Drosophila melanogaster: one gene and its partners. Changing the gene in region 2 together with the main gene of any one other region gives a genetic interaction. Each region holds a gene or a part of one and is shown on either strand. Other genes may lie near its edges.

Region 1 (5,143 bases), on a different chromosome or scaffold from region 2:
GTTCCATCATATAAAACAAGTGCATATGGCACGTTAAATGCAAGTCGAAAATTGATTTTTTAAAGTGTGTATGAAATGAGGCCCAGCTGCAATCAGCGGGCCAACTTGTTGTAAACAAATTGAAGTGGCACTCAGTGATCCCCTGCTCCGCCGCTCTTCTTCTTGTGTTGGCCATTACCAATTGCACTCGGGTTCAACCCTTACCCTCGACCATTCCCCATACCCAATTCCCTGGGGATCGAATTGGATGGGATTGTATGGACGGAGTGGTATAGGATGGTATGGCATGGGGACGTGCCTTCATTAGGCCATGCAGAGCGCGTAGGCAGAATGTGTAAACACACATCGATTTCCATTCCGAATGCGTCTCGTGTGCTATGCGTAATTTTAATTGATTTCATTTACGCATTTTTGACTAATGTTCACACGCCGATGCATCGGACTGGCGGGGGGTGCAGCTCATTTAGCATGGACTCGGCGCGTTGATGGACAGAATCCAACTCCAAATGGCTGCATCGGGGAATTTATTTTTGGCCCTATCGTCCCACTCTCGCATCCGCCGTTCGCCTGGTTTTCCCCACCCAGAAAAAAAAAAACCCAAAATCTGTAACATAAATTTCACTTTGATCTATTTTTGAGTGGCCAATGCAAGTTTGCTAAATTCTGTTCAGCAGAAGGAATATTTAAAATTTTTAATTGCTACTAGAGTGCGCGCACTCAGCGGCGACGACCCAGTTTCAAAACATCTTTGCTGGCCAGAATCTCGACTGGGTTAGGGGATTTCTAATGGTGGTGAAAAGGAGGGAGCACTAATCTCTAGATAGCATTTTTATGTTACGAAATATACAGTTTTACTCTAATTAATGTGTGTGACACATACTATTTTTAGCCATCTTCATGCATAAGCATCTTATAAAACAGCAAAAACATGGTATTACATGTAGGAAATGTGATTCACTTTCGCTAAACACAACTTTAAACGCACCCCCACTTTGCTAATTGCCCATTTTGGCTATCGTAACTCCTATTTTACTTCACTTTTGATTGCCTTGGGGTTTTCTTCCCCATTCTGCCATCAATCTCCAAGTTGACATCCCAACCACGAGCGATTTGGAAAGAAACGTGTGACTTACCGAACGATAAACTGAAAGTAAACCTCCAAGTTGCCTGGGCCATCAATCAATCAGTCACTTAATATGAATATGAAAATATGAACCCGAACCCACAACAAATGCAATGTGGGTTTATCTGGCGTACATTCGCCATTCATTATTCATTGTGTGTTTTTCCTCTCGCCAGCCAAGTTTTCTTATCTCAGGCAACAATGTTGGCCGCGTTTTTCTTTGGGCCACTGTAAGTGCAACTTGAAAGGCGATTTTTAGGCCATTTTTGCAGTAAATGTAGCAGTACTTGAAGCATTTTGTAGTTGGACAAGGTTCAATGAGCAGGCAAACCGCTGAAAAGCCCAGTTACCCAGACCACACCCAATTGATTTTCACTCACTGACCATCTGAGAGATGCGTTTATGACACCAATCGACTTGAAATTTAAACAAGCAATATTTTAGATACATAAGCATGCCTTGACTTTACAATCAGTTGTTTTATATATTTTGCTTGTAACACACTTTTGATAACATGAAGAAAATTTACTGTGTGAAAAATTGTGAAAAACTTATTTAATGTATGGTTCGTATAAGGTGCCGTCCTAGTGCTTCTTGCGACCCTGGCAGAGAGATTGATGCGCCTTCAGCTGGTGGCCCTTGAACTCCAGGCCACATCTGGGACAGCCGACGGTCTGTTTGAAGAGATTGCACTAGAGGCGCTGACGCGGAGTAAGTTCGTCCTCGCTGGACAGCAGAGTAGTCGAGTTGCTGTTCAGCTCTGTGTAACCGGAGCTGCGAAGAATTCGCTTTGATGAATTTGATTTCGATTTGGTGCAGCGTGATGTGGAAGATCCCGAGGAGGAGAAACGGGTGTCCAAGTCCTTTGAAGTAAACGATGGCGGTTCCAAGCACACCATAATGGTACCGCGCTTCATTTTCTCAAAGCAAATGGGACAAGATACGATGTCGTTGTTGAGCAAGTGGGCTGCACGGTGTTCTTACGCTGCAAGTCTTTCATCAGGATGTCTTCTCCAAAAACATCGTCAATAATGGATTGATCAGCTAGTTCCGTGGCGGCTGTTAAACTGTCATTTGCCGGCCGCCTCATAATCGATTGAAAGGGTATTGACCTCGCACAAGGTCAATTCATCCTCCATTATCTAGCGCTTGATGTTCTGCGTGCGCTCCTGACTGCTCATGGTGTTCCTGCAAGCTGGCATCTTTAGCTCATCCTTTGACTGCGCTGCTTCTGTTCATCAATTTTCTTCATTTTATGTTATTAAAAAATATGTTACTATATGGAAGTGTTTGAATTTACATTAGAATAGCCTACTATGTTTTCGACCTAGTGTCATAGAGGCCTAACATTTTTGCCATTTGGCTGGGAGCCATTCAATTCGTTTGCCATGCAGTCGGCATTTGCTTTTATTTCTACGTAATTGCGAATCTTTTGAAGCGATGCGAACTATATCATCGCAGTACATTTTCCTACCCGTATGCATATTGATTGATAGCCAATTTGCACGTGCTCCACTTTGTGCCTGGGTTTTGCTTATTGTCGCCATGTTCTGCCCATACGAAATCAGTTCCCCTGGTCGCAGTTCTTTGGCTGCACCCACATGGATTGTCACGTTTGTGTTTTGTTTTGCTTTTGAGTTCTTGGAAATGTGTCGAACACAAGAGCCGCGAGTTTTCCACCCAGCAATTTGCAATCTTTGATAGATGGCTTATGTAACTGCCAGAGAGTGTAAGGCACAACACAACACAACACCAAAGTGGCGAAAATATTAGACGCGTCGGGGGAATTACGTCGTTTGGTCTGCGGGTTTCGAGTCGACAAGTGCAAGGCACTCAATCAATTAGCGATAGTCGATAGCCATAGACATGGGCTTTATCAATGCTTCGGTTAACTTCGTGGTTGCACTGGAAAATATTCGAAACTAAGAGGAGTTAGAAAGTCAAATTTTAGCAAGGCACTTTCAGCTAACAAATATTATATTGCTTCTTAAGTGTTGCAAAACTAAAAAATATCGCAAACCCCCTATCGATATCATTGAACTTTTTTTTTATTAATAATGTTTTTATTACTGTGTATAGCGGTTTCCCATAATTTACACCACTCATGTTACGCTAAAGTTTTATTGAGTTCCATTAATTTACGACTTTCTATGGTCGTAATTAAGATTATCCTTTGCTCGCGCTCCGCAATTGCCGCCGATTTTCCATGAATGGCAGCTTTTTATCGGACCTGCACTCGCATAATTCATTTTATCATTTTGACAGATTCGGAATGGAATAGCGACTTTCCTCGCCCACCCAACACGCGTACGAGATTTCAATTGCCCGTCGAGTGGCACACATATATTATACCAGCTCTCGAAATGAGACGCATCATAAATAATAACTAATGTTTTGATAAGACCCCAATGAGCGCCAACCACTTTTTCTGTTTATCAAATTACGTATGAAGTTTGCTCATTAATTTTGGCAAAGTGAGTGTAGGGGAAACATGGGTAGTGTAGCACACAGAAACCCCTGCAGGAGGCCTAACCCCTTTCGCTGAGATTGGGTCTGAGTCGCTTCCGCTGATTTGCACTGAAAGTTGCACAGTGGGGTTTTTGCACCTCGGTTTTGTATCTCGAGAAAGGGGGATTTCTTGGTCTTCAAGTCGCGCTCATTGCGTGGGCTTTGAGCCGTCGAGGAACGTCATCCTCCAAGTCTGTGGCGTGCAGACGACAGAACTAGACGTAATCTCGGCGAGCTGTCAAACAGTATCTTAAAGATGCCTCTCCGACTACTTGGCTGGCAACTGGTTCTGAACGCAGCCGTCTGCGGAGAGGCACTAAATTCTGCGGCCTTTTGACCAAGTTTATGACACACGTTTAGCTGTCTAGTTGGCCCACGCTCATCCGCTTTCAGCAGGAAGAGAGTTGAAGTTGCCCATTCTCCGTTGGTGCGACTCCCCTTTTCCTCTCCATCGCCCCTATGTGTTTCTATTTTCAATTAAGATCTCGTATTTCAGGCGCCCGACAAACGGGCAATTGTTGTTGTTAAATTATTAATTGACATTTGCCTGGCGCCACAGAAGAGCAACTCAAGTGCCAAGACTCCCACCCGCTCTCCCTTTTTTTGTTTACAAATTAGTTACACAGTTTTTCAATTTACTTATATTTCGTATTGCCCGTTTTTCTGTTTGCCCCGTAGGTGAATTCAGTGCGAATGTTCAGCCAGACGTCGAAGCTATGGCCGCCGCCGCTTTGAGTGGCATGGAAATGGGATCTGGACCAGGATCAGAGGGATATGAGGATGCCGACAACGAGAAAAGCAAGACCGTGGAAAATGGTGAGTCTACCATCTTAATAAAATGATTTAAAAAAGCGTGTTATAAATCAGCATCGAATATTTTGCATATCTTATCTTATTTTATCTTATATATAATATTAGTTCGGATTAATATAACTTATGATCATAACACTCGGATGTATAGATCAACAGCAAGTTTATATTTTGAATTTGGCGACCTAAGTTCAACATCCTCGATAGTATAGTGGTTAGTATCCCCGCCTGTCACGCGGGAGACCGGGGTTCAATTCCCCGTCGGGGAGATGTGTAAATAATTTTTTTTTTTTGGTTCGATATTTAATTTATGTTGTTACTTTTTAATTTTCGAAATTTATATATTATTTAACAGTTAAATTTAATAATTGCCTGGGTACGGAAGAATTTAGTTTGTTAAACAAAACAATACATCTGTTTCAACATATGAAAGAAGTGCTACATAAAAGCTAACAAAAATAAAAGCTTCAAAAATGTATAAAATTATTGTTATTGTTATTAACTGGAAAAATATATTGTGAAAAAATGCTCTCGCATCTCCCCGACGGGGAATTGAACACCGGTCTCCCGCGTGACAGGCGGGGATACTAACCACTATACTATCGAGGACGGTGAACGACACTCGCCAAATGTGGCATACGATTCTCGTTAGACTTCGGTTGGATTCCATCAGTGGAAGACCTTCCCTCCTTTGGCATTAAG
Region 2 (5,260 bases):
AGGTGCGGGCCAAACGGCCGCGATCACCGGTCTTCTCCTCCAGGTTGCAGATGATGGTACCCTCGGGCATCTGGCTGAGGGGCATCACGTTGCCGATCTGAAGGGTGGCCTTGCGGCCGCAGTACACGAACTGGCCGGTGTGCATGCCCTCGGGGGCGATGAACAGCTCCTTGCGGATCTTGTAGCGGTAGGGGTCGCGGAAGTGGACGACGGCCAGAGGAGCGCCACGGCCGGGATCGTGGATGATGTCCTGAAACATGGAAGAAGTACGATTCGCTTAGTTACACTTCAAAAGCAGTTAAGCCAAGTGAGCTAAGTAACTTCTAGTAAGCTGGCACAGGTGCTCAAGCACGTCTCTTGAATGTGGCATGGCCAAATGCAAGTGATCTCATCCACATTAAACGGATAGGTGTAGTTGGTGATCCTAGGAGCACGTTACTCACCTTGACAACTCCGCGGATGTAGCCGGAACGCTCGGCGAAGTCCAGGGAACGCAGCTTGGCGGCTCCCTTGCGCTTCTTCACGTGCGCCTTGAACACGGAACCAGCTCCCTTACGCTGTGCACGAATAACGCGACCCATTGCTGCAAGACAAATTCACGGGATTAGTACTCGAACTCCATATTGCAAATGCGGCGGTTTCACTAAATAAGATGGCCATCTTCAATGCAACACGCTACGGAATTTCGATCTTATTCGAATATTTTGACGGAAAATTGAAATATTCCATGTTACACGGTTATAATGTTAAATTGCGCACTGTAAACAATTTCCGCAATTGAAAACACCACCAAATTTACAAAATTTAGCACGTGGCTTACCGTAAAATTAAAATTGCCCAATACGACCACTCCGGAAACGGGGCGAAAAGAAAAGAAAAGAGGAAGACATCCTAGAGGTGGGCAGGGAATAGTGTGGCTGTGTTTGGCGTCTGGCGTCGTGACTAACGTGCTGCTGGGGAAAGAGCTGTTTCTCACTGCTATTTTGGGTATTCGCGAAATTGTTAATTTGCTAATAATAATAAATAAAATAATAAAATTTATCATATTAAATCTTCAAATTCAGTTTTCGGAAGTTTTACTAATCAGTAGCTCACTTGCCCAGAAAATTTGGTTTGATTTCAATCTTCGCAAGGTCAATTTCGCTGAAATCTGCTTTACCTAATCGAAACGTTTCTAAACTGGATAATTTTAATATAAGTTAATCGATTTTATATATGTATATAATAATTCAATTAGATGTATGAATAATTCGAGTTGAGCTGGAAAGTTGTGTCGAGCACTTGCCAATTGGATGAGAAGTGAAAAAGGCGACCCAATCAGAAATAAAATAGAGAGTGAAAAGAAACCAGTGGAAATATTCCGAAGCCGAAAGATATTTTGGACTATGCTATGCGTTCCACTGGCGTACATTTTTAGACGTCTTTATTTAACACATCTAATCTTCGACCATACATATCTTATTCTTATATTCCAATTCTGATTATTATATAACTTTAATAGGAAATGACTCAACGATTTGTGTTACCCTATGAAATAAAATATTAAATATGTTAATATTTTTTATTTTCCCAGCCTCTTTTTTCTAATTGGAATTAGTAAATGTCTATAATCTAATTTATTGATTACAGTTGCAAATTTGTTAATTTGCTATTCTGAAAGAGAAGAATATACGGGCACACGAATTGGCCTTTTACGGCTCGATATGTTTGCGGTATGTGCGCAGAAATGAGAACGGTAATCGCGGGGTATTTTTCAGTTCGCGATGGAATAAGCTGCCATCGGCTAATTGGTCACACTGTTGGAATCCGTCGGGGTTTTGGCGTCGCGTAAAACGGAAAACCGTTCTGATTTTCACTGAAGTTGGGAAATTGAACTGTTCAGCTGGTTGTGCGATGCAAAGGCGATAGGCGCCCATCGCTGTGCGTGAAGAGTACGTATTCGCGGTGCGCCAGTGAAAATCGCGAGTCCTGCGCGAGAACGCAAAACGCAATCGGGAGGAAAAAGCGAGTGGCAGATTTTTTCTGTCTACCTACACAAACACATACGCAGGCTACTGCACTGGTGTGGGTGTGTGTGTGAGGCTGGTCCATCGGAGCGCCGCAAAAAAAATATTGAAATTGTGCAGTGTGTGCGAAGTAGCAGATGAATCGGCAGTGATAAATAAATGGTTTAAGGGCGAGAAAAGATTTTATAAAGTGCTGGGGAATTAAAAGAGCCGCGCCCCGTTTGCCAAACGTTAACTAACACACACAAACACTCCGTCACAAAACACACATACGCACGCAGAGCCAGAGCAGTGAGAAAGAGAGATGGAGAGAGACAGAGAGCGAGAAGAAGAGCGGAGAAGCGAAAAGAGAAAAGTTGTATGACAGCAACAAATAGTTTGTTAATTGCACGGGTTTTTTATTGTGGCATTTGTCATTTAGAGCGTATAAATCTTAAATCGCGGTAAAGTGCGTATAAATCTAAAATCGCAGTAAAGTCCTGCGGCCGCTCCTTCTCCACTCTATTTCTCTCCCCGTTGTTTTGTCCCCTCCCCCCGTTCACCGTCTTATTTGCATTTCTCCTCTCTCCACCTCTTTCTGCGTGCGAAGAATCAGCAGCAGCAATTCTCCAGATCCAGAAGAACAAAATAAAATAGCAAATCAAAATGGCGCACCAGCAGCAACAACAACTGGCTCCATCGGTCAACTGTTCACTGGACGATATCGATCTGACGGCCCTAAAAGTGAGTCAATAAGCTGCGGTTATCCATCTCGAATGGAAATGGAATACGACTAGAAATAGAACCAGCAGCAGAGCCCCCCGAAAATAGAGCCCCCACATTGCCCCCTCCCCATCAGCTATATTCATTAACAAGCCTCGCCCGATTAACGGGAAAGTGACCGCCCCGTGATTATTTTCCCAGGTGTGGTCGTTTACACTCCAATTTCCGTTCGTTATTTGTTAGTTCGATTTCACAAACTATTTACACTATCTGAAAGGTTTCACAATCGATTAGTTTCAAAAAGATGTAAAATATACCGAGATGCAACCAATACGAATTCTTTTTTTTTGATATTATGATGAATTTTTTATTTTATATTCCTGCAATTCGCAAAGAAGCCCCTTTACTCAGAACTTGGTTCCAAAAATACCCCACAATATCTTACCCAACTCGATTGGCCTTTCCAGTCGTCAAACCCTCGAAGGTTTCCCCCGCACATTTATGCAAATTGTTTAAAAGTACAACAAAAGCGAGTTCTTTTTCTTTGTGTTCTTCCTTTTTTGCACTTTGCCATGGCAACGAAAAAAGGTTTTTTTTTCTGGATTTCCGTTCTCCCCCTCGAAGCAATCACAATAATAATCGAGTTGATAACTGCACATTGACATTTCGATTTCATTGCCTGACAAAAAACCACCCAACTTGGCACCACCCACCCTGTAAGTTTTGAATGTGAGAGTGGTGTGCGCAACTTTTGACCGGCCGGTGCCACCTTCTCCGCTTTGCCAAGCTATTTTTTGTTTCGCTTCGTTTCTCAATGAATTTGTCGAGTCTTAACCCCCTTTCGGCCGCCTTAGCACCCCCCTTTAACCCCCCTGTGGCCGCACGCACTGCCGCATGCGTTTGTTGCCTTTCTCTTTCACCAAACATTCACCACTCTCAGCACTTTTGGTGGCGGAACGGAACTCACCACGCCCGCCGGCCCCACGTTGGGCGCCATCTCTTTTGCTTTGCGCACCCACCGAAAGTTCAGTTTGGCACAAGTGTGTGTGTGAGTGTCCGTTTGTTGACTCTGCCTGGATGTGGTGGGTGGTGGGGGGGGGGTCAATGTGGAGTGGGCTGGTGGTGGTGCTTGGGTCGTCGCCTCGCTGCTACGGCATGTGCGCCGCTGTGGTTGTGTGTGTGCTTCACCCACAGATGAGGCCAAAATAATAGGCTTTAAGGCGGCCTTAAAAAAGGGATGTTCCGTGAAGTTCTATAAATTAAGTTAGCACTAAAAATCTGGAGTCAAATTTAAGAGATCACAGCATTAGTTTGGGAAGAGTTTTAGTTGGCTTTCGTACGGATAATATTACTTGTTTGTTCGTATACATGAAAATATACATATACAAACAAGTGTATTTTTCGGATTAAAGGCTCATTGCCGATTGACTTATATTCACAGTTCTTTTGAGTAGAACGAGGCTCCGCAGGCACTATTATTGTAGCCCCAACTGTTAACCCGTGTGTGTTTATGAAAAATTGTTCATAGTCGATGCAGAGCGACGAAGACGAGACAAAAACGAGACAAGAATGAAAATTGTTTAGTTTACTTTATTAAAAGGCGGCAGGCAGAAGCGAGCAGAGCAACACCATGCGTGCTTTTGTATCTATGCGAGTCGCATGTATCTGAATCGCTGTGTGTGTTTGTATCTGCGCTGCAGCAGACAGCTTGAAGATGGCGATAATGTGGACTCAAATGATAATGATGATGAAAACGATGATTAAGATGGGGCACACACACAACACCGGCTGCCAAGAAAAGCGGCGACGAACCCAAAGCAAAATCAGCAAAAATGGCAGCAGGCATGAGAATCATGAATTGTGATGTGTGTCTTGTTTGAAGTGTTGTTTTTATTTTTGTTTTATTTCTGTTTGGCCTTCTCCTCTCGGTGAGGGGCGCTAAAGTGGGCGTGGACGTGGGCGGCCCCTCGCCTGCATGTCTGCCATATTCCGGTGACCTGTCTGTGCGTGGCTTTTAAAGGTCATTAAACACAATGGCCGAGAGAAGAGAGATGCGATAGCTGTGGAATGTCCCGAAATAGAAAACGACAAAAGGTCAGAGTCCTTAAAGCTAAGGTTCTTTCTCTCGAAACTGGCTCGCTTTGTTAGGCTTCCGTTCTGGTTTCTGTTCACTCGATAAGAACTCCACTCCCCTCCACTCCTTGTGTCTGATAAGATACCACAAGCTGCATTCATCAGCACAAATTTCATTAATTATTTCTGGTTTTTACGACTCCCCATTTATTTGTATTTGGTGCAGTTTCTTTTATTCTCCACTGATAAGCATTCAAACGCGGTTCGTCTTCATTTTGGTGTGGCTTCCACTTCTTTATGTGTATTTCACTCGCATGTGCACTGAAAGAAACCGATCTTCAATCAGTAATGTTTAGTATCTAGGATAAACAAAGGGCTGATCCAACAACTTGGTTCTGAAGAATTCACGAGGTGGGCTTCTTCTTTTAAGTGGCACTATACTGCGTTTTAAATTTAACTTCATTATTTTAAATCTCTTT
Region 3 (6,019 bases), on a different chromosome or scaffold from region 2:
TAAGCCCACTTGAAGCTATTCAATCAGCCGACAACTCTTTCGAACTGTGGTCGTTCAATTCCGTGAGAAAGGGACACAAATTAGTGAGGGCAGGCAAGTGCCATCAATTAACTAGAATCCGGATCGATTATTTGCCGCTCCTACGCACATTCGCACATTGGCATGGATAACATTTAAACGAAGTAAACACTTAATGCGAATTTATGGCCGCCAAATGTCCAATTTGGAATTTAAGCGAGCTTGGCAATGAAGAATTTATGGTTTTTGGTCGCTATTGCGGTTAGAATTTTACATAGAAAATCGAACTGCAAAGTTCAATATAATTTTATGAAAGAATCGATTACCTAACAAAGGACACTTCTCAGGCTTTGATTTTGCTACACAATACAATACAATGCCTTAATTGCAATCATATATTAATATGAGTGGAACTGAGCATAAACTATGTATTTCCAAACATTTTGGCCACCATTTCAAAATTAGCACAATTTGCGCCGAGCTGCAAAAGTTTGTCAGCAGGAAAAAAAGGCAAACAAAAAGTTAATTAAAACAAAAATTACGGACAGTGGCCGGCGGTCGTTTGGTGGCGACTGTGCCGCAGCATTAGCAGTGCAGCCAAAAATGCAGCCGAAAAATCTGCGCGCCATCTAAAACAAAAATTAATTTTTGGGCCAGGGAAAGTTTTTATTTCCCTCCCATTGCTGTTGCTGTTGTTCTTGTTGTTGTTGTTGTTTGCTGGCCAGGCGAGAGTTTGCATTGTTTTGCATATTTTATACGGCGGAAGTGTATACGGCAAAGGCACTCGCCATCATGCCAACTACCCCAACCCAAAAAAAAAAAAAAAAAAGCGAAAAAAATGGTATGTGCAACACGCAAATTATGCAGGCGCATAAGACAAACTTTCTGTTTTGCGGATTCGACAACCGGCGGGATGAAAATTAATACGAAAGCCAAAAAACGGGGTTGCCCCCCCACCCACACAAACATCTAGTTCCTACGTATTTCTGAGATCCAAAACTGCATCGGCAACTGGAGCACCGCAGAGTAATTAAAAATACAGCCAATGGCCAGAGCAGAAAAACCCCGAGCAGCTTGTACTGAAGGAGATCATATCGGCCATGTTTGCAGCCCAGAAATCTGAGTCCCTTCAAAATTTGCATCTAGCATCCATCAAATAGATAAAATTGAAGAAATGTCTCAGCTTGCAGTTCTAATAAAAACTATTAAAAAAGAAAAGAAAATTAAACTAAAATGCATTAAAAAGGGTAAAAGCCAACATGACTATATTGAATTGATATTTTATTAAATGTGCTCTAAGCTCATTTCTTATTGCACTGCAGTTTTCAGTTTATAACGGTATAAAATTCTTAAGTGGCTAAGTAATAAGAAACAGACTTACTTTATTATTACTGTTTCTATATTGTTTTCTTTCGGTTCTAAGCGCTTAAAATAGCTTATATTGTCCCAGACTTTTTGAGATTCAGGCACACAGCAAATGGCTGCCGAATTGCAAACGCGATTTAAATGGGTAATGCCAGGACATGGCGATTGTTTTATAATGCAACGTCCCCACTTTCCACTTTTGCGCCTGCAAGCTTATTACAACGGTTAGCTTTATATTTACTATCCCAAGTCGTGTCCTTACTCACTAATATATCGAAGTTTACTTTCATGTGTATATGGTGTGAGCAGCAGAAGTAAGGCAAGAACGTAAAATATAGCGAAAAAAGTCATGATGTCTCACTTCACATGGAGATGTGATAAATCATATTAAAATCTTATATGCGTCAACGAGATGGCTGCATTTAAGATATTAATCAACTGTGTAATTAACTAATCAACAAAGCGCCTATTTCCAAGTCGACAAACCACAGATTTCATGCTTTAGTTATGCCTGTTTTTTGTCTTTTCGATATAATTCAAACTGGTTTCGACACTGTAGTGAAGATGCTGGAGAAAAAGCGAAATACTTTAAACAAAATCAACAAAACCCGGTATTGAGTTTGGGTTCGATTTGTTTTTTATTTTTTCCTGTCTGCCGGCAGTGGCGACAATCGAAAAAGGCAAAAACCAGCCCCCAGCTATTATTCGGATCCCCCATCACCTCCAACTCGCCCACATCCACATCGATCGATCTTGCTGACGCTGCGAGAGATCTTCTCAGTTTCTCGAGACGATCGGACGACGCACGACGCATTCCGCACTTTGGGTCTATTTTCGTGATTAATTTCGAAGAGCGGAGACGTATTCTAATAGGAACCCATGTTCCATTCTGTAACGTGAGTGCCATATAATCTGCAGAAATCAGTACGAATTCGTCCAGATACTCAACAATTTTACGCATACAGTATGAAAAGCCTTGGTGTTTTCCTACAAAAATAGGTCAAGTGCAGTGTTTGTGTAACATAGTGACCTAAAAAACGTTTAAATTCGTTTTCATGTGGATGAAAAGTGCTGAAAACTGACCGAAGAAAAACATATGCTAACAAAAAGTGCAGTTGGCGCAGTTTGAGAGCTACTGAAAGTGGCTGCCAAAACAGTTTTAGAATTACTCTGTAAGTAATTGTGGTTCATTACTTAGTTTTAGACCAACTACACGAAAAATATATAAAAATAAAAATAAATACATTTTACAACAATATTTTATATTTTAATTTAATACATAAATTAATACATAATTTAACATAATACATAATAATAATGTTAAGTCCTTTAAGACATTTGAATATTTCATTAATCGAGCAAAGTAAAAATAAACAAAATTATATCAATATTATTAAAGAATGCATGTTATTATAAATTCAATAAATAAAACACGTTACAATTAAGTTTTTACCAATCACAAGTAAACACACTTTCTACATGTAGATATGATAACATACATCGAACGCGCGTAAAATTTATGTTGGTACCTTTTTATCAACAATTGTTTGGTGAGCTTTGATTTCACATTCATATATAAGTAGATACAAATGAATAATGAACATCTTTTTTTTTAAATAATATAAATATAAATATTATTTAATAAATGAGCTCAATACTTATTATTCGATTAAGTCATTTACAATATCTTACATTGCTTCCTGTCGATGTAAAATTACATATTTCTACTTGTCTGGCAGCCCTGAAATACATATAACAGATATAATAGCTCACATTACAAAAAAATTGCTTACAAAATTTAAAAAAGCATAGAATTAGTTTGCCAAATTCTTTTACTATTCTGCTTTTAGAAATAAAAATTTATTGACTAACCTTCAAAATAATTAATTAGAAATGTATATTTTGTTCTGGTATTTTTTAGGGCGTATTAGGAATCAACGAAAATGAGTCAGTCTTGTATACCAGTGAGCGCAAAGATGTCGAAGGCAAAGAAGGTTTTGGATGAAGCCCGAGAAACTCACAATCCCGAGTTGGATTTGGCCGACAAGGGGCTGTCGTCCTTCGAGGAGTTGCCCGGACTGTGTAAGTATCAAAACCAAAGGATCTTGAAGGAATTATACGGATTTTTGCACTTCTGAGTAAACATAATGGTGGGTTACTTCCACGCAGAATGGAGCCTCGCCCAGCTGCTAAAAAAATTGTAAATTAATAATATTCTAGCGTATGTATTTATGTTGTGGTAATAATATTCATTTAAAATGAGTCTAAGCATCTTTTTAAATGGAGTCGCTTAGTTTTATTTATTGTGATGACGCCAGCAGCAAAATATGCATAAGTTTGAGTGTAGAGAACGTAAACAAACACTGTAAATACCGCAAATAAGATGTGTATACATATCTGGGAAATGTACTACAACTCCATAACTATGACTTCATTTACATAAAATTAGAATATACTACAATTATTAATCTTAAAACCATTAAATTTTTGAGAAAAAAAAAACATTGCGCATGCCTCTGCTTATATTGTTGTCCCGCTCCAACATTCGGCGTCTATACTTGTTGCCTGCAATCAGCTGTTTGCATTTAAACCCAGTGGTGAATTCACAGTGCATTGGACAATTATGAAAAACAATCTTTGATATCACGAAAAAGGAAAAATATGTATTTTAAAGAGTTTAGTATTCTTATTAATATAATTTTTTTTGCAGTCAACATGTCCAACATCACGCGCTTGACCCTGTCCCACAACAAGATCAGCGTAATCAGTCCGGGAATCGCGAACCTACTGAATCTGGAGATCCTGAACCTCTCGAACAACCAGCTGACCGAACTGCCCGTTTCGCTGTCGTCCATGCCAAAGCTACGCATCCTCAATGTGTCCATCAATCGGCTGATAAATCTTCCTCGCGGCTTTGGAGCCTTTCCGGTGCTGGAAGTGCTCGACCTGTCCTACAACAATCTCAACGAACAGGTCCTGCCTGGTAATTTCTTTGGTATGGAGACACTGCGTGCTCTGTATCTGGGCGACAATGACTTCGAGTATATACCGAAGGAGGTGGGTCAGCTGAAGAATCTGCAGATACTCGGATTGCGTGACAACGATCTTCTGGAATTGCCCCGCGAAGTTGGGGATTTGGTGCGACTGCGGGAGCTACATATTCAAAACAATAGGCTGCAGGTGCTGCCACCAGAGATCGCCCAGTTGGACCTACTGAGCAACAAGTCGGTCATGAAGATGGAGGAGAATCCCTGGGTCAATCCCATCGCCGAGCAATATCTGCTGGGCATTAGTCACGTCATCGACTACCTCAAAACGGAGACCTATAAGATGTGAGTGCACCATAGATCCATATATCCATAAATGTATATTCATCTGATCCTTTTCCTTGACAGCATCTACAACCGCCACTTGCAAGCAGGACGCAGTGGACCGCCGCCACCCAAAGCTGACAAAAGCAAGAAGGCCTCTCGAATTCGCGCATAGTGATTCTCCACCAGAAGATCCCAAGATCCCATGGAATTACAAATGTGTTCGTCTCGTTCGTTGTTAACCAAACCCGTTTTCGTATACTAATTTATAAGTACTTTTAAACTAATGCGTATTTCTGCAATGTGCCTTGACCCTTAGTTTCACTAATGAAAATAAAACAAAATAATAGATGCATATATGTATTCCTGCTGGTTTAATTTCGGATCCTATGCGCAAAAGAATCGTTAAATAAAGACACGCTTGTATATTTTATAAAATAGTAGGTTTTTCTTGTTTTTATTATCTTTTCTCATATTCATTCTTCTTTTTTAAGAAATTTGTTCATAATCATAATTAATTAGTTTACTTAAAGTCAATTAATTAATTCTTTATTTATTTTAATTAAATTAATAGTTAAATGTTTTTTGTTTTTGTTCTTTGTTTTCTATGTTTGAGAAAAACTAAAAGCATAGTTCTGCTTTGTTCGCTTTGAGTTTGTTTCGTTTCTTTGCATTTTTTCACTTGTCAATTTGAATTGAATACATTTTTTTTTTATCAATTTATGTTATTTAATTATTTTGTAAACGTATTTCGCCTTCACTGTATCTGCAATTCAAATTTAATTTATTCCTTAAAGTATATTTTAGTATTTATATTTATATATTTTTTATAGAGTTTATTTACAAGAGTTAAAGATGTTCTTTTACGAAAAGTCTGGCAGAAAAACAAACAAAAATGTAAATTCATTTATTCAGTAAATTTCTCCAAAATGATAGCACGGAAACGTCTTGTAAATTCGAATTGAGATAATTCCATAGCTATGCGTCACGATATACAAGTTGGATGTGCGAATGGAAACGAAGACAAGGGTTTCAAAAATAATATCATATAGCTTTCAAGCTATAAATGTCTTTTCTTGGAGTAGTACATCAGTCGGGACTCCGTGAGTAGTTGCACGATTAGTTCTTGAGCATGCAAATACGAAACACAGACAAAAACAAAAAACATAAACTAGTAACCTATGAGACTACAACAAAGCAAATTACAAGCACTCGATAGTATCATATATGCATGATCTATGCACTTTAAGATACTTACATAAAAATAGATTTATATGTTGGCAGATATACACGTATATGATAGATAACATTAAACATAATCATCA
Region 4 (7,476 bases), on a different chromosome or scaffold from region 2:
CATCAGCTTAAGGTGCTTGCCATCGCCACTGAAGTTGTTCATGATGACGAGCGGAGCGTGCTTGAAGTGATCGTTGTCAATCATCTGCTTTTTGCTTAGCGAGATCACATCTCTGGCCAGGGTGAACTGGTGAACCTGACAGAGAATAACTTCGCGGTAAAATATCCAGTATAAACTAAGCGATGAAACAAACAAACCTTGAAAGTCAGGGAAGGACCGCGCGGCAAGCGGACCACTTTGAAGGACAGCTGCGTGGAGGCCTTGTTGAAGATGCCCATGTGCGAGACGTGGAAGAAGCTGCTCAGGCTGACAAAGTCCTTGATGCGGTTCATCCGCTTCTCGCGCAGATTGCTGGCCGTAAAGGGCTCCATAATGCGGCGGAAGTCCAGGGTGAGGTCCGTGATGTACGGACAGGCGAGGCCGCGATGGATGACGAAGGAGTGCGGCGCCTCCACGATCTCGCTCGGCTCGCTGGCCTTGAAGGCCGCCGTGCGCGTCTTCGGATGCACTTTCTTCTTACCGCCCATGTTTCAATGTTTTTGTTCACTTTTCTCCCGCACGTGTATGGATCAGTGTGGCTGCTCGCGCGGAAAATACCAAACACCCACTCCGACGTCTGCCTTTGGTCACTCTAATCCCATTTTAAATTTCGATTTTCCGCCCAATTGAAAGCACTTCTGTTTTATTTAAATTATATTTATTTAATCACACTTAACATAGCAAACACAAATGATGTTATTTCGTTTCATTTATGCATTTAAAGTTTTACAACTGTTTTTGTTTGATTTCTCTTTATCAGCTAGTTTTACCAAGTGGCCAATCGTTTAAAATGTTGCGAGAAACCGAAGAAGAAAATCCGAGCTGCAGTGCTGTGGTAATGAATTTGCGTTTAAGTCGAAGAATTTCCGGTTGTTTGTTGTTGTTCTGCTCGCGAAATTACAACTATATATTTATGTTGCGAAAAATTAATAATATTAATATTTTAATATTAGCATATATGTATATTTATATAAATTATAGTTCTACAGCTTAAACTGAATTTGGAGTGTTTAGTTTTGCTTGCTTTCTTTCCGCGGCGGTCGATTTATGCGATACTCATGGATCTGTATATATATAAAACTTCAGTTTAAACCGCAGTTAACTACAGCCGGATGTTGTTGCTTTCGATTCTTTTGCTGCTGCTGCTGCTTCTGATGATGGTGGTGGTGTTGGTGGTGGAGAGTGGCGGCTCAGATTTGAATTATCAATTTATGCGCACATGACAAACTGTGGCTGACAAACGCATAGACATCTTGTGCGGTCCATCGGGTGTACGCTGCTCCTGATCTTGGTGTTGCAGTTCTGGCCGCTGCTGCTCCTCTTGTAGTCGTAGTTGTAATTGCTGTTGCTTCTGTTTATGTTGCTGTTCTGGCGGTTGCGGGGAATAGCGAAAATTGCTTGGGGCGGTCACTGACAGCACTGTTTGCGCACATCGGCGGTGACAGTCGGCTTTACGTCGATGGGCTCCACGTTCGACGGGCGGATGACGTCGCCTTCCGGCGGATCTCTGATCTGTTTCTGCGACACAATGCGATAGATCTCTGAAACGGGATTACGAGACATCATTAGTCGTGCTTCGTTATCATTAATCTATTGACTTTCAATGAAGCGTTTAATCTACAGTATTTAAATATTCTTAAACGATCGATAATTTGAAAGCAGACTAGCTAAAATATCCTGAACGACCCACCTGTGAGTATGTTCTGGAATGCCGTTTCAACGTTCGTTGAGTCGAGGGCCGAGGTTTCTATGAAACTCAAGCCGTTGCGCTCGGCAAACAGCTTCGCCTCGTCCGTGGGCACGGAGCGCAAGTGCCGCAAGTCGGACTTGTTGCCCACCAGCATGATGACGATGTTCTGGTCGGCATGGTCGCGCAATTCCCGCAGCCACCGCTCCACGTTCTCGTAGGTCAGATGCTTGGCAATGTCATAGACGAGCAGGGCCCCCACGGCACCGCGGTAGTAGGCAGAGGTGATGGCGCGATAACGCTCCTGGCCGGCCGTATCCCAGATTTGCGCTTTAATTGTTTTGCCATCGACCTGCGTTGGATGCACAAGAAGGATGAAACAAAGGACAGCATTAGAATGGTGCCAGTAATTGGCAATTTCGCCACGAAATGCCTGCGGCGCATTCGCTTTGAAAATTAATATACAAGCACTGGCATTCAGTATTCACACATAACCAACATAAATTAGAGCTTATGGATAAGCTTTTAACTCTAGTAAGAGAACCCAATTTTTGAAATTTCTTACACTAGTTAGAAAAAACGCAAGTAGCGTAAGTTATATTCATTGAACCCATTTGATATACTAAATATTAAGATGACCTACTAAGCTACTTCGAAAAGATGGCACAAAGTATTGTTTAACACAAATCCTTATACATACGTAATATATAATTGTTATTGACCACATAAATTTATTATTTCAGCACAAGTGACAACTATGATGTCAACATTTTGGCTAATCCCGTAGGATGGCTTTTGAAATTATGCAAGAAAGCCAATTGGCAATCCATTATTTAGTGAAATTCTCGACACTTACTCAAATTGAACAAACTTTTCCCCCCAATTTTCCGATAGACGCCTCAACTACGTGTCCTCCCACCGAAACGCACACGCAAGTTCACCCGTGACTTCCCCCACTGTGGGTGCGGTGCGGTAGATGTGTGGGGGTGGAGCTCCATGGGCCACTCCACCCTCGAATTCTTGGCCAGCGTACTCACCTCTATGCTGCGCGTTGCAAACTCAACGCCAATCGTCGACTTGGACTCCAAGTTGAATTCATTGCGCGTGAAACGTGAGAGCAAATTACTTTTGCCAACACCGGAGTCACCGATAAGGACAACTGCAAAGGATTAGAGGGAATTAGTGACATCGACATTGGCATTGGATAATCGAAGACCCCCAGTTGCATAATTTATGTGGGTGTGTGGTGTGGCGTGGCGTGGCATGGCCCCTGTCTTGTGTTTTACGGCCGGACAGAATGGTCGCTGGTGGCCCGGCTAGGTCATGTCCTCCTTTCGCCGCTGGCACGGCGCACCAAGGTCAGCGAGTACATAAAACCGCCATGCTCGGGGGATTTCAGGCCATGGAAAGAAATGTTTTATGATTGGGCCAGTCGACGTTAGGGAGTTCGTGTTATTGTGCTTCATTGCCGATAGCAAACATTTCTTGGATAATTGAGTGGCGGATATTTGAGGGAGCAAACAAGCATCCCAAGTTGATATGCTACCCGATAAAAACTATCCACTGACCTTTTTACGACTCCATTTCTTTTTGATAAACTTTCTTATGTGCGGCCAGAGTTGTTGGCTATAATATATATTAACTGATATCTAGACACTGTGTTTACTGACTGTCTGTCTATTAGTTTCCATTTTTGACACCCTTTTCGGACATTGTTGATTCAGCATGTTTGCTAATCCATTCAGAAAACAACAACTATAACTCATCAAACACCTTTTCGCTCTATCGCTATGGTCATCGCTGCACGGAGAAAATTCAAATAGTAAAATGGTATCATATGAACACTGATTCTTGAGTTCGAAGTTTCGATTGCAATGCCATTAAGATAGGAACTAAATATTTGAAACGACTTTTGAGCTAAGTCCAAGTTTTTGACTTAATTTAGATAGCTAAATTAGAGGGTATAGGGTTTTCTTTCAGTGTGGACAGCTGGGAGCAGCGTGGTTACAGTTATCAGCGAGAGAGCTGAGTCACTTTGTTTTCTACTCTCTTTCTCAGCGCTAATAACGATCTTTAAAGAGAAATTGCACTTAGTTAAGCGGATGCGATGAGAAATTAAAAGGGGAGGAGTGGTAATCGACGGTCATTACTTAGTAGTGGGATTGGCTCGAATAACCCGAAACGGCCCATTTTCAGTTATGTGATTATGCGCTTATCGGTGAGTGGAATTCTTCAGCAGTTATTGGCTGTGAGTCATGTCCGTTTAATATTGTTTCATGTGTGAAATTTGAGGCCTCATCATGCATACCGCACACTGACGCATTATTATGATGACTTTTTTTTTAACTTTTTGTATACTTGACCCAAAAAATACGGCAGATTAAGTTTTAAATATTTTTTTAATGACATTCAACAGTTGCTCAGCTGTGATAGCTAGCAGAGATTTCCAAGCGCAATTGGAATTTATGGCGTAGTAGCAAACGAAGGGAACAAAGAAGAGCTGAGAATTTGTGACCTCTGTTCATACATATCTACACATAAACGGGGGAAGATGCGGGATAAAAGTCTTGTTTTCTACCTGCAAATACATCATTTTGCTCTACTGTGCTTCAAACTTTCAATCGAGAGCGGGTGAAAAAGAGAGCGCGCGTGAGAGAGAGCTACTAAACGAAGTTACAAGAAACCATTGCAAAAGCCAGCTGTACAGAAATCATAATACCCACACTCTCGCTCTATTTACTGGATATCTAATCACTTTAGCATTTCGAGTGGGTGGGCAAGCCTTAAACCTACTTTACAGAGCGAGCGATTATAAATACGATCTGCTTGGCTTTTGTATGCAACGTGGCGAGACCAACGGCACTGTAATGACAAAACAAGCAGTTAACGGCAAAGTACGCGTACTCCAGTCCGAAAGAGTACCCCAAAGAGATGGAGATAGGCAGAGTGAGAGCGGGAGAGCCACCAAAGGGCATCCAACTGCAGCAGTAGCAACAACAACAAACTCGGGGGGCGTACTTCTTATTTTGGGAATTAATGACACTCACGCAAACAAACACACCACATACCATCACATGAACTTTGGGCTCTTCGAGTGCACTTTTTGTTATTCTCCAATTAGTTTCAATTAGTGCTATTGAACCACTGTCTCTCACGGCAGGGAGAGGAGAGCCTGGAAGTGCGGCTCCTCCCCTCCTGATCAACCTTCCGCGATCTTCGACCAGCGGCTAGTATCATGTTTATAATTACCTTTGAACAGATAATCGTACTCGTCTTCTCTTGCACCCATTTTGCTCAATTTGTTTTGCTATCGCTCGCTCGGTTCGATATCCTTTGGAAATCCAGTTCCGTCCTTTTTGTTTTGTGTGTGCGGGTGCTAAACGAAATCCAATAATCCCTGCGCGCCGCCGATTTCTTTAATGCGTTTGTCGTCGGCTCACACACTTTACACTTTTATTTGCAGTTGTAGTTGTAAAGAAAGAGAAAAGTGTATATATCAGTATTTAAGTGGCGAAATCGGTTGCTCTTCCAGCTCGGATGCGTTCGAAAATGCTGGCAGGACTTTTCCGGCAATTGGAGCAGTATTAATTGGAGATTTGCAGCTGCTTGCAGCGCATTTATTTGCAATTTTCTCTTACACGAAAACTTAGTCACTCCCAATAACGTCACGTTATATTTCCAACGAGACTAGAGATGTTGAAAAATATCGGTACATCGACATTATTTCGGCGATACTTATCGATTTTCTTAATGGCGATGTAAGGCGATAGTACAATGTCACTTCTATTTTTGTTTATATGAACATTGTTTTATACTCAAAAGCTTTAGAATTAGAATTAAATTTTTTCATAATTAAAACACATTAGGTCTAGAAAATAAATCTAATGTTTGTTTCCTATTTAAAAAACTTATTTGTTTTATTTTAAAACACCAACATACTTATATCATTATCGATGTTTTCACATCGACTTGCATCACTAAATTAACGAGATGGATGTTTTAGAGTTACCAGACGGTACGACGAATTATCATGAACTGCTCTCGTTTCATCCCGACAAGCCTATCGTATTTTAAAAAAGCTGAACACATTTTCTAGGGATTATCCCTAGCCCATTTAACTTATTTCCAACTCAAAATGTCTTGAATACTTAAAACGTTCCAACCTAAACAGAATCGTTCTCCCAGTAGCAGTAACTGTTTCTAATATTATCTTATTAAAAAAATTAATTAAATAGAAAACATTTCGATCCCAAGTAAAAACCCCCTGCTTACAAATCAGAGTAAAAATGTGTTTATTTTAATATAAAATACTTGTAAAAAACGATAAATTAAGTATAATGTGCAGCTAATACTTCCGTTGATCTCTAGTGAGTTTAAAAACTCTATTCCTATTGCACTTAAATGCGAGCGCGTTGCAAGGCCATGGCTGGATAAATGAGCAGAAGTCCGCCGGCTATATAGGTGATCCTGGAGCCAACGCACCAGAAGGCTATTAAGGATTAAAGAGTTTAGAAAAGGTATAATCCTAAGACAGCTGAGGAGCTCACCAATGCATCCCACCACGGGGCCCAGAGCTCGAGCCAAAGCTCCCAGTGAGCGGAATATGCCCAGTACTGAACCCTTCTGGTCATCGTTTCCGTATTTGGATACGAGGGTGGTCAGACAGGTGACAGCGAAGGCTGTGGAGATTGCGAACAGGGTCATGCCGGCGTACAGCATCCGACTGCCCTCGGCTAGGCCGACTACTACGAAGGCGGGTACAATCAGGTACAAACTGAAGATGGCATAGCCTTTGATCTTCGCCTCGGGCAGCCGTCGGACCACCGATCCCTGCAGCAAAGTCATGATTACACCTAGAAAAAGACACAAATTTGATAGGGAATATTGTAGATTATCAACTTGCTCCATACCCGTTGTCAAAAACATCTTCGCCTGATCCATCGAAGTGTAACCGAATTTGTGGTACATCAGAAATGTGACGGTGAACTCCAAGCCGGAATACAGAAAGAGATACAAGAAGTATACCAGGCCAATGGATCGCAGTGCCGCAATGTCTTTCTTAGGCACATTTTTGATGGCAGCAAATCTGTCAGTGGGAGAATTCTTTTGAAATATGATTGTAAAATCCAGACATAATCATTGGTAATAATCTTCTAGCTAACTGGACTCAATTCCCTGTAACTACAATTAATCAAAAGCAATCTAGAATTTACTAACTGATAAGGCAATCAAACAAACGTGTCCGAGAACCCGGCATGATAATAGTGTCTATCAAACCAGTCAGGCAAGTCCGGGTGGCTTGCAGTTCTCACCGTATGACGATTTCGATTTGATCACACGACAGGTTTTCGAGACATGCTAATTAAAACATTGAATTACCTAAATATGGCCGAAAAATTGAGCAACTGCAGGCCATAAGACAGTGCAGATGATATCTCCTTAACACGTTTCTCCTGCGAAAAGGTCAAACAATTAATGGTGTTGGGAATATATTTAATTTAGCCAACCGTACGCACCTTGGGCAACGTTTCCCGCAGACAGCAGGCCAGGACCACAAGATCTCCAACTGCCAGGCCAAACGCCAGCAGAGAGGGCAACACAAACCAAGTACTTCCACTTTTATCGGAGAATATGGCGAACAGGGCTCCAATCATGGGCCCCACAATAAAGCCCAGCGAGAAGGCCACACCCACAAGGGCCATACCGCGTCCACGGGTCTTAACGCTGGACACATCCGTAATGACGGACAT

What was found.
Region 1: of msn (region 2) and tkv, changing one suppresses a phenotype caused by changing the other (phenotypic suppression), as found in Drosophila melanogaster (one study listed by BioGRID).
Region 3: of msn (region 2) and ics, changing one suppresses a phenotype caused by changing the other (phenotypic suppression), as found in Drosophila melanogaster (one study listed by BioGRID).
Region 4: of msn (region 2) and Rab11, changing one suppresses a phenotype caused by changing the other (phenotypic suppression), as found in Drosophila melanogaster (one study listed by BioGRID).

What each region holds. Positions count from the first base shown.
Region 1 is NT_033779.5:5,240,673-5,245,815, reverse strand, and holds the start of tkv (thickveins), read left to right. Parts: upstream 1-1,676; 5' UTR 1,677-1,740; coding exon 1,741-1,834; exon of another isoform or gene 1,835-3,117; intron 3,118-3,195; exon of another isoform or gene 3,196-3,597; intron 3,598-4,309; coding exon 4,310-4,447; intron 4,448-4,638; exon of another isoform or gene 4,639-4,710; intron 4,711-4,978; exon of another isoform or gene 4,979-5,050; intron 5,051-5,143.
Region 2 is NT_037436.4:2,583,074-2,588,333, reverse strand, and holds the start of msn (misshapen), read left to right. Parts: upstream 1-1,793; 5' UTR 1,794-1,931; exon of another isoform or gene 1,932-2,068; intron 2,069-2,079; exon of another isoform or gene 2,080-2,297; intron 2,298-2,595; 5' UTR 2,596-2,651; coding exon 2,652-2,729; intron 2,730-5,260. Other genes in the region: RpL8 (ribosomal protein L8), read right to left, coding at 1-250, 444-581.
Region 3 is NT_033779.5:13,638,556-13,644,574, reverse strand, and holds ics (icarus), read left to right. Parts: upstream 1-1,972; 5' UTR 1,973-2,555; intron 2,556-3,302; exon of another isoform or gene 3,303-3,304; 5' UTR 3,305-3,326; coding exon 3,327-3,465; intron 3,466-4,093; coding exon 4,094-4,715; intron 4,716-4,778; coding exon 4,779-4,869; 3' UTR 4,870-5,128; downstream 5,129-6,019.
Region 4 is NT_033777.3:21,109,355-21,116,830, reverse strand, and holds Rab11 (Rab11), read right to left. Parts: upstream 5,424-7,476; 5' UTR 5,016-5,423; coding exon 4,976-5,015; intron 2,886-4,975; coding exon 2,764-2,885; intron 2,079-2,763; coding exon 1,730-2,078; intron 1,581-1,729; coding exon 1,447-1,580; 3' UTR 685-1,446; downstream 1-684. Other genes in the region: ppan (peter pan), read right to left, coding at 1-135, 198-527; rtet (tetracycline resistance), read right to left, coding at 6,124-6,215, 6,274-6,579, 6,637-6,812, 7,106-7,179, 7,243-7,476.